2 linked regions of the Arabidopsis thaliana genome follow. The protein of the gene in region 1 interacts with the protein of each later gene in a pairwise test. Each region holds a gene or a part of one and is shown on either strand. Other genes may lie near its edges.

Evidence for each region. Proteins that work in one complex are often made in the same cells at the same time.
Region 2: the proteins of AT3G18360 (region 1) and WRKY20 interact in a two-hybrid assay, tested with the Arabidopsis thaliana proteins (one large-scale study listed by BioGRID).

The regions. Positions count from the first base shown.
Region 1 is NC_003074.8:6,300,075-6,303,460, reverse strand, and holds AT3G18360 (VQ motif-containing protein), read left to right. Parts: upstream 1-1,648; 5' UTR 1,649-1,776; coding exon 1,777-2,634; 3' UTR 2,635-2,841; downstream 2,842-3,386. Other genes in the region: AT3G18350 (heat-inducible transcription repressor (DUF639)), read right to left, coding at 2,961-3,191, 3,273-3,386. UniProt on the Arabidopsis thaliana protein: May function as negative regulator of plant defense.
Region 2 is NC_003075.7:13,436,484-13,442,784, forward strand, and holds WRKY20 (WRKY family transcription factor family protein), read right to left. Parts: upstream 4,514-6,301; 5' UTR 4,211-4,513; coding exon 3,983-4,210; exon of another isoform or gene 3,292-3,982; coding exon of another isoform or gene 3,280-3,291; exon of another isoform or gene 2,991-3,279; coding exon 2,835-2,990; exon of another isoform or gene 2,543-2,834; coding exon 2,038-2,542; intron 1,948-2,037; coding exon 1,791-1,947; intron 1,707-1,790; coding exon 1,551-1,706; intron 1,287-1,550; coding exon 815-1,286; 3' UTR 522-814; downstream 1-521. UniProt on the Arabidopsis thaliana protein: Transcription factor. Interacts specifically with the W box (5'-(T)TGAC[CT]-3'), a frequently occurring elicitor-responsive cis-acting element.

The sequences.
Region 1 (3,386 bases):
TTTTCCTTCCCAATTGTCACCAGTTTCCTCAAGAGCAAACTGCATAAAGAGGGTTTTCATTTATCTCAGATGTGATCAAACAACAACTTACTCCTATTGTAGATGTTGGCTTGAGGCAATTCTCATGTCTGTTATCTCACCATTTGAGATTTCTCTATGTATTCCACCAGAACAACAGTGTCTTTGAAAGAATTTTCTGTTGTGCTCATTATCTGTCATACAACTTTACTTTGTCACCAAGAGGGCATTAAATTAGTTGAAACAAGTGAAATAGATCTCTCTACCTGCAAAGCCACTTCCAAACTCAGAGCCTTTTGTTTGCAGGCAACGACATACATGCTTTTGCCAGTTCAGTCTTCGAGTTTATTGAAAACAGGTGTACCAAAGCCCCTGCATATAAGTTTATTATTAATCAATAAGCAAGCAAAAGTCCGAACAATGAAGGTAATAACACACCACCAACAAAGTTCCCCTTTGTTCTTACATCAACAAATGCGGCTATCACCTTTTCAGCAAACTCGAGATCAGGACACCTGACGATATTAATTTCTATCTGGCACACAAGCAAGGTTGTTGCAAATGCAAATTTATCAAAAAACGACAAACGCTAAGAGAATGCACCAAAATGTGAAGGATATGTAAAGAGTTTCGAGTACATTGAAACAATTCAGGTGCAATCAGAAAACTTGCACACTTCAGTTCCTAAATATGCTCTAAAAATTTCTTGGCCAAAGCTCTAGGAGCCACTCTTTCAATGGTCTCTCTAGATGAAGACCTCCTGCCACTCATGAAGAAACAGAGAGACTTATTTTAAGATACTCTCGATTCAAGTACTAATCCTAACCATAATAAGCAATACACATATATAACGCTTTGAACAAAAGAATAGTCATTACCTGAAGTGATCTGACTATGTACTAATGTACATGTCTTAAGTTGCATCAATTATGTGAAGGCCTAAATGCAACAGACGATTTCATTGTAATCCTACAAATAAAGCACATCCATCGATTCACCAATGAAGTGAGAACCATATGCCACAAAACTATTAATCAAAAATCTGATAACTCCAAGTACTGCAAAAGAATGATTAATTATATGACCATTTCTTCTATAACTCCTAATCCGATATACATAAAGCTAATCAAGGATGATGCAAGTGAAATAACAAACGAAATCAGAGAAACTCATTGAAAGAAGTGAATCCGGTCGGGTTGATCCATAAAGGGGAATGAAAGAAGAAGAAGAAACCATTGTAAATTTCAAAATGTATTGATGGTGGTACGGTTTAATTGGTTCAGACTTCTAGATTACTGCGATTCAAATGTTTCAATCGGCAAAATCCATGTAATTCTTCGCGATTACAGTTACAGATATAACAGAACTAAACAGCAAAAAATGGAAATTAGTATGTGATAATCCATAATTATCTCAAGGAAATGATTTACCTCTAGAAGTTTAAACCTGGATTTTAGCAATCCTAGTGGCGATAATCTCTTAACTGCTTATCAGCCTCATAAACTAATTCACATGATATACTTACGTGGCACTAATAAGTGCTTACTTGGAACACTCACCAGATTACACGTGGCTCACTGTAACAGACTGAAGCTTATAAAAGGCAACACTCCTCTCCTCCCTATCTTCAAAATGGATCTCAATTTTGTCATTCTGTTTTACTTTCAATGAAAACTTACTTTTGGTTATACTTATGTATGATTCATTTATTCATTTAATTCAAAAACGTCACAATCCCTTTTTTTTATTACACATGAAATGAGCTCAACGTACAAGGACAACCATCCGTACCACCACCACCCTCACCATCACCATCACCATCCAAAGAGAGAACCCAATGAAAACAACTCCGGAATCTTATACACTCCCTCACCTTCACCGTCACCGCCAACTTTAAAAGTCAACAAAGACTCTCACGTTATTAAAAAACCACCGTCTCCGTCTTCTTTCTCCTCCGCGGCTAAGCCTCGTCACCCGGTGATCATTTACACACACACTCCAAGAATCATACACACTAATCCTAAAGATTTCATGGCTCTTGTTCAAAAACTCACCGGAATGACCCACTCCGACGAAGATCTCGGCGGTGGTAACGCAATGACCGATCCCGGGGTGGTAAAATCAATCAACCGAACCGTCTCTGAACCAACCGTCGACAGAAAAAACAACCGCAATCGCTGCGGCGGCGGTAATAATTACCTTAGAAACTACTCCGGTGCCGGAAACGGAAAGGGGATATTTTTTAATAACACGATGATAAGTGAAGATAGTGAATCGTCGTCGGTGATAACAACTGAGGAGAACATCGGAGAACATGGACAGGTTAATTCTTCTCTTCCGTATTCAGCGGTGGCTATTCCTCCACAGCCACCGCCTCATCCTCCTCCACCTCCGCCGCCACCGTCTATGTACGACGCTGCGGGGATAAACTACGGTGCTTATTTACCGACATTTCCGATTTTCCCGCCGGCGAATCCAGCTGATAATTTCTTATGCGGTAATCAACCGTTTGCGAATTTTGATGATCCGCTTTTCTTCGCGCCTAATATGAGAAGCTCTTTCTCTTCTTCTTCATCTTCTGGCTTCGATGGCTTGACGGAGTTTCGCGATTTTTAAGTTATCCGGCGTAAATTATTTCCGGTTTTGGAAAAATAATTTGTTTTTTCTTCATTGGAGGAGGTCTTCAAAGGGACTAATAATTTTTGAAATTAGTTAATAGTTATTTTTCCTTTAGTTAATTACTTTATATACTCGAAACAATTTTTCTGTGATCATCTTTTTTATTTCAAAAATTCATTATTTTTGTAAAATTTTATTGAATTCAAGAGTTGGCTCCCGAAATTAAGCTTAATACATACACAAACTGCATACATACATACATACATAAATGTATAGATTATAAGTATATATGTACGTCTGTGGCAACTATAGACGCTCTCCAATTAGTTCTTCTTCTTCTTATTGTTCTTGTCATGTAGAAGGACCACTGGAGCCGCTGGTATACTAAACCACCACTCTCTCAACCGCCTTATTAACCGTTCCGTGCTAGCTCTCCTTGGTGGCGAGTATCTTGTGAAAAGCTCAACAAATACAACCGAAAGCAAGTAGCGTCCCGGAACAAAGGCCATCATCGTCGCTGCGACCACAATCGCAATCGCAAACTTCTGGCTCGCCTGAAATAGCGGTTTCAAAACTGTGGTTAGACACAGCTTTAGGAGAAGCAGTTTGTGTTAAATATAAGAGGGAAGGCTGACCTGAGGGAAAAGCGAGAATAATAAAGCTCGGAACTTGAGAAGAACGATGTTTGCGTCTTGAATGTTCTGTTCGAGCTCCGAGATCCCGTTCTGGACTGCCAAAAGCTGTTCCAT
Region 2 (6,301 bases), on another chromosome or scaffold:
ATCCGATTTTTACCTTTCCGCAAAAGATGAAAATGATTCACTGGTCCGGTGAAAAAAACAAGACTATTTTGACGACGATGATTATAAATGACTTATAATGTCATTAGTTTGATAGCGACAAAATTTTTATTTGCTTAACGGGTACTATGATCTAAAAGAATCTAATATGTTTGTCTTTAACAACAGTAAATGCTTCGGAAAAAAAAAAGTTCTAAATATGAAATTAGAGATTGTAACTTCCACCAAATAATCTAGATACATGTAAGAGAGAATAAGGTTACTGTTTTAATTGCCAATCTACTTCTTGCACAAATCTCTTAATTTTGTATAGAGACTGTATAGTATAACCTTCCAAATAATTGAACAAAGTTTAATATTGTCCCATGGTAAATCACCTAGTCGAAGTATTTATATCTCATTATTATGAGTTTTTGACAAATCTAGAAGTCTAGAACTAAAAGTTGAGAAACTATTATTGAAAAACGGGCAACAGTTGTAATTGTCTGCTTAAGGACCACGTAGCTTAAGTACCGTCGTGGTGTTTCTTTCATGGAGCATATCTAATTACGGTGAAGAAGAAATAGTTTGTAGTAATATTGCTGTTTCTTGTTTAAATAAAAGCATTAACATCTTGTTGTGTATTTTTACATAACATTTTTGGAACTCAATACAGGTGACACAAACAAATATATATGGTGGAGATAGTTTGAATCAAGATCAGCTCTCTGTGAAGAAATAGGAATTATATAGAACAAGGCCTCGTCCCATTCCTAACCTAAGAAGATCCCGTACATAATGTTGCTTACTTTTTGTTTTACGGACCCGATTGTACTCTCCCCATGTTGGGCGGATATGGGTAAGATGAATTGTTCAAGGACGAGATGTCACCATTTTGAGTCTCGTTCTTTGTTTCTCTCTGGCCGTACTGATTCATACCGCTATTTAAGCTAGCATAGTAGGATGACATGGGACTAGCATGAACAAACCTGAAATTGACTCCATTTGGGTGAGTTTGGTTGACAAGTTGTTGATTCTGGTGCTGATGTTCGTTGGAAGCGTGGTTAGGTCCATCAGATGAGATTCCAACACCAAGATTGAGGCTGATGGTGTCTGTTTCATCTGGTCTGAACCGAGGCTGGATTTCGTGATTGCTGCTAGACTTTGAAGTGGGAACATCATGATCGTGTTTGCCTTCGTATGTTGTTATTACAGCTTTTGGATCATGTGATGCTCTCTCCACGTGTTTTCTCACTGGGCATCCATGAGCTGTGCATTTGTAGTAGCTCCTACAAAAGGCCGAGGAACATCATGAAACATAATATCTCCATTGCGCACATGTTGAGTCTGTTAAGATCACTATCTTCCATATTCCAAACCAAATTCCTAAAAGAAGCAACACTTTATGCACATGTCAAATAACTAGGTCCTGAAGACAAGGACTAAACTGTTCTAGCTACCATTTTGAACTCGCAAGTTATGTTTATGTATGTTCATTCGAGAAAAAAGCAAGGAATTTTTTGGGGTGTTAAAAGCTTTAATGCTGTACAAACCTGGGATTTGGGTTCCCCCTTACGACTTTCTGCCCATATTTGCGCCATCTATAACCATCATCCAGAATGTCAACCTCACTCAGAGTTTGAACAACAACCCGAGGCTCCCGGATGGGTTTCACTAGTGGAGTTATTTCCATCGCACCCTCCATCCTCCTACATAAAGTTAAAATAAAGTTTTAATCATGTCAAATCACAGATTCAAATCAAGCACCTGAATCCTTTGTTAAACTCTAATACCTCCGTTTTGAGAATGGATCATCATCGTCCGGCTCATCTTTATTCCTATTTGACGCTGCCGCTTCTCCACCATCGTCAGATGCTGAGATAGGAGGTACTTCAGGGTTACCAGTTTGTTCATTGGGGTTAGACAAGTTGTAGACGCCAGATCCCTTCTCTGTATGCAGACATAAGAGTAGAAGGAAAAAGTTATAGATATTGCCAAGGGAGTAAGTGCATATTTGTCTCAAGTTTTAGTTATGATTACCATCTCGGCCAGTTGAAGAAGGATACTTGTCTAGCCTTTCTTCTTGTGCAGCCATACCACCAGAGTTTCGGCGACCAGGTTGAGGTTTAGGATGGTCATGTGTACCCTTGTATATAATATCGGTGATCTGCCCATCATGAGATCTTTCAAATAACTTTTTCACTTCACAATTAGGATGTGTACATTTATAATAGCTCCGGGGAAATTCACTCCCTTTGACATGCTTTTGACCATATTTTCTCCAGTTATAACCATCATCAGCCAAGATGGATGGAGTGCTTCCTCTGGAGTCATTTTGGGAAGTCTGGATTGATTCCTCTTGATCAGATCCAGCCGGAATATCTGAGCTCGTTGGTGTCATCTGACAAGGAGGAGTTGGCCGGCTTAGCTCACTTGAGGAACCTGCAGCATCACTGATCGAAGAAGGTGAGTGTGAGGATCCATGGCCCTGGCCTTGAAAATGTACTGGTGGCTCACTTCTAATCTTGCCAAGCTCTGCATATACCTTGAAATCAATAAAGATGTTTAGACAAAGTCATCCCCCAACAATATACAAGTAACTTATAAACTGTGAGCTTTTGGATACAAGGCTCCTTATGAAACAATTTAAGGCTGGCATGGTATTATATGTATGCAAAGGCGAAAGATTTTGAGATTTACAAGCAATCCAAGCGCTGAATAAATAGACTTCGTGCAGAAAAATTAGGTCAGCCACTGTTCGGGGTTCATATGTCGTCGACTATCTGAACAGTACATTACATGCAAAGCATAACAAACAGCATTGTTTTGGACAATACCATATTTGATGCAGGAGGTCTGAACTCAAATTCACTGGACTTCTGCTCAGTAAAGGTGTTCTGATGGAACCCCCTGCCTGTATAAGAACTTGAGCTAGCAGAAATGTGCACTGGTCGAGGCTTGAACAAAGAACCAGTAGTAGGGGAAGGTTCTGGCTGAAAGTTAAAGAAAGTGGCATATTATTAATGGCATGAATAAAACAATACATATCAGATTTTGTAAAACATGAACCTGATCTATCAATAAACATGATGTTTTAAAAAAAACAGTCTTCTAAAAACAAAAACAATATCTTGTTCAATCAAGGGATAAGAAGATATAACTAAGAGATGCAAAATAAAATTGAGCACATAGCATATAACCTATTATTCATAACTTAATTGAACAAAACGAATACTCTATAGATCTAAATGGTGAACATGCGAGTAAAGTACATTTTCTCACCAACAGAATCATTCAATAGCTCATATAAGTAAAAGGAATCCCCACACAGACGCAGCTAACCGAAACCTAAATGTACAAAGAATGGAAAAAGAAAAGAGAAGCACCAAACACATGGAAGATAGACACTAGACAGTATGAAGAAGAAACGACAAAGAGCAAGAGGATATAAATAAAGTATCCAGCACCAATAGAACATGATAAAAAAAAAAGGTTTATTCGAAAGAACAATCTGAACGGACACAAATGCAAACCAATGCAGAGTATAGTAGCACAAAGAATCAGAATCTTGGCCAAAGTCCCTAACGTAAGCAAACAAATCATAGTTTTTTAATCACTTGTAATGGACTAAGAAACAAAAATGGAAACCCAAGTCCAATGTTTTTCCTAGTGAGCAAGCAGAGAGCATCTCCACCAAATTACCAGAAATTCCCCACTAACATGAACAGTGATCCAAATCGAAATTGAAGCAACGAGAAACCGAACAAGTGGGACAAAATGTCAATGTTATGAATCAATTCCAATTCCAAACTCAGTTTCAAAATGGCACAATCCAATTTCATGAAAAATCCTTTAGGTCTTAAAAATATGAAATCAGAAAACCTAATTTCTCAAATCGACAACAAAAATGAGGTGAAACTGTGATTGCATTTACCAAAATCGAAGAAGAAGAAGAAGAAAGAGATAGTAAAGTAGCTGCTTAAACCTTGATGTTGGAGATGAAAACAGGAGATTCCAAAAACGAAGTCGGACTCAACCCAGGAGGAATCGTGATATCAGTCGACCTCGAGATCGGAAGCTTGGCCGGTGACATCAGCTTATACCTAGCACCTCCACCTCCGTTTCCTCCAGCTGAATCGTGCTTTGCCGTGAGATCTCCCGTCGCCGAACAATCTCCCTGAAACTCCTTCCGGTCATTAGCTTGAGGGTTCATTTCAGAGATTCGCAAGGGTAGAACAAAAATGAAGGAAAAAAGAAGCTAAGGGAAAGTAGAAGAAGCTCTCAGCTATGGCGAAATGAGAGAGATTTTGGTCTCTGCGTTAGTGAAGATTGTAGTGAAAGATGAAAGAACGATATTGACTTCACACCTCTCTTAATTCTTTGTTTTTCCTTTTCATTTTTTTAATAATTTATTTTCTTCTTCTTCTTTTTCTCCTTTATTTAGCTTTATCAATTTCTAAAGCAACAACAACAAACGTTAAAGTTGACAAAAACAATTAGAAGATGTAAACAATCCTCTTTTTTTTTCTCATGTACATTTGTCAAAATGTAAAAGATAAAAAAGTTAGTGTAATCAAAATTGCTTGTTTAAAGAGTTGTTGGAACCAGAAACATCCTAAATCTCAAAGTAAGAGTGTTGTAGCATTGGTAGATTGACACAGTCAGAAGCAGTATTGTTGATGATAATTAAGGATCAGGTATCAACAGTCTCAGGTCTTTTAAAACTTACCTTTTTGAATCTTTTGTGCGCCAATGATCCGTTGCTTCGACTCTCGTCTATCTTATCTTCTGCGATGTTTATCAATAGTTCAATACCGACGCTGAAATAAATGTATTTGCTGATTTGTAACAAGTTTCTATTGTGATGAGGCCAAATATCAATCGCATCATCGACAATTACCACTCTACGCTCATCAACAGCAAGAAGATCGAGTGTCTTCTCATAAGGACTTTGTTCTCTGGCTAGGACTCGATCTCCAAAGTATATTTTTTTCCGGATCAATCCACTTCAACACGGTCTGAGCGTAACTAGAATCACCCATTGTGTATACGTGCATGATGAAACGCTTGTTGGCTTCTAATAGAAATTCATGAAGAAAAGGTCGTAGCTTTATCATATATTCGCTGGGAGTGGATCTCTGTTGATTCTCCACAGATCTGACCTTGAATCAGCTCCTTCGATTAGATACTTCTGCTCTTCGGAAAGGTCCGAAACAAGTACCGAGTGGACAAGCGTGTGGTCCAAGTCAAGGACTAGGTGAAACTTCTTCTTCTTATCATCGTTGAGACAGGCCATTTTTTTCTTGTTTTGGATTTTGGTTGCAGAGTATGATTGTTGGCTCCAAACAAGTGAAACTCTGTAATCGAAAGAGAAACCCTAATTTGATCGGTGATAATGAAATTGATATGCTATGATTATGTATTATATAGAGAGGATATGTGTGAGATATCTTTGGGCCGTTCTCAGTTTCTTTCATTGGTTTAAATGGGCCTAGGCCCTTGAGTCAAATTACCTACCAAATTATGTGGGAGTTGAATCGAATTTTTTTTGTTAAAAATTTAAGCTATTGGTTTATCTTGTGGGGTAGCGGTTGTGTTCTATTTGCGTGGATAACAGTTAGGATATATAATGGTGAGTGGTGACATTCTGGATCCAAGTTGGTCCACCTCAAATCTTGTTAGAGAATTTTTCAAAAAAAAAAAAAAACATGTTTCTTTGGTTGTAAAACTTCCAAAATGTGTAAAAGATAAGAAGAATATGTGTATATATCTCTCAATACTGTTCAATGCCGTTTCAGAATAAAACTATGTAATTCTTTTCTAAACCAACAATTGTTTTACTTGTATTTTAAATAATTATCAATCCATGTTTTGATAAAAACTGATAATTCGAAAGTGGGTAACTCGGTAAAATGATAAAGCAACAGAAAATATATCATAACTATTCAAAAATATGTGACTAGTGAAGATTTTAGATAGTAATTTTTTCTTGGTGCAACACTCATATCATATACATAGTCTTGTCATTTTTACATATTAAATTTAATGTCTAGATTAACAGAAGAAATAAGGAAAAACTCGATAACTGTTTTTTTTTGGTAATTAAAAAACTCTAAGAAAATCTAGAAACGGAAAAGTTTGCATGAAAATTTCCAAAGTTCAAAAAGGTGTTGTCCCCTTCACATAACCACACCATCATCATAATTTTGATCAAACATTTGACCAAGAAAAAGGGGTGGTTTCACTATTTTAGTTTGGTGTACTTAAGATTTTGAATTATTTAAAGTTCACGATATATTGGCAT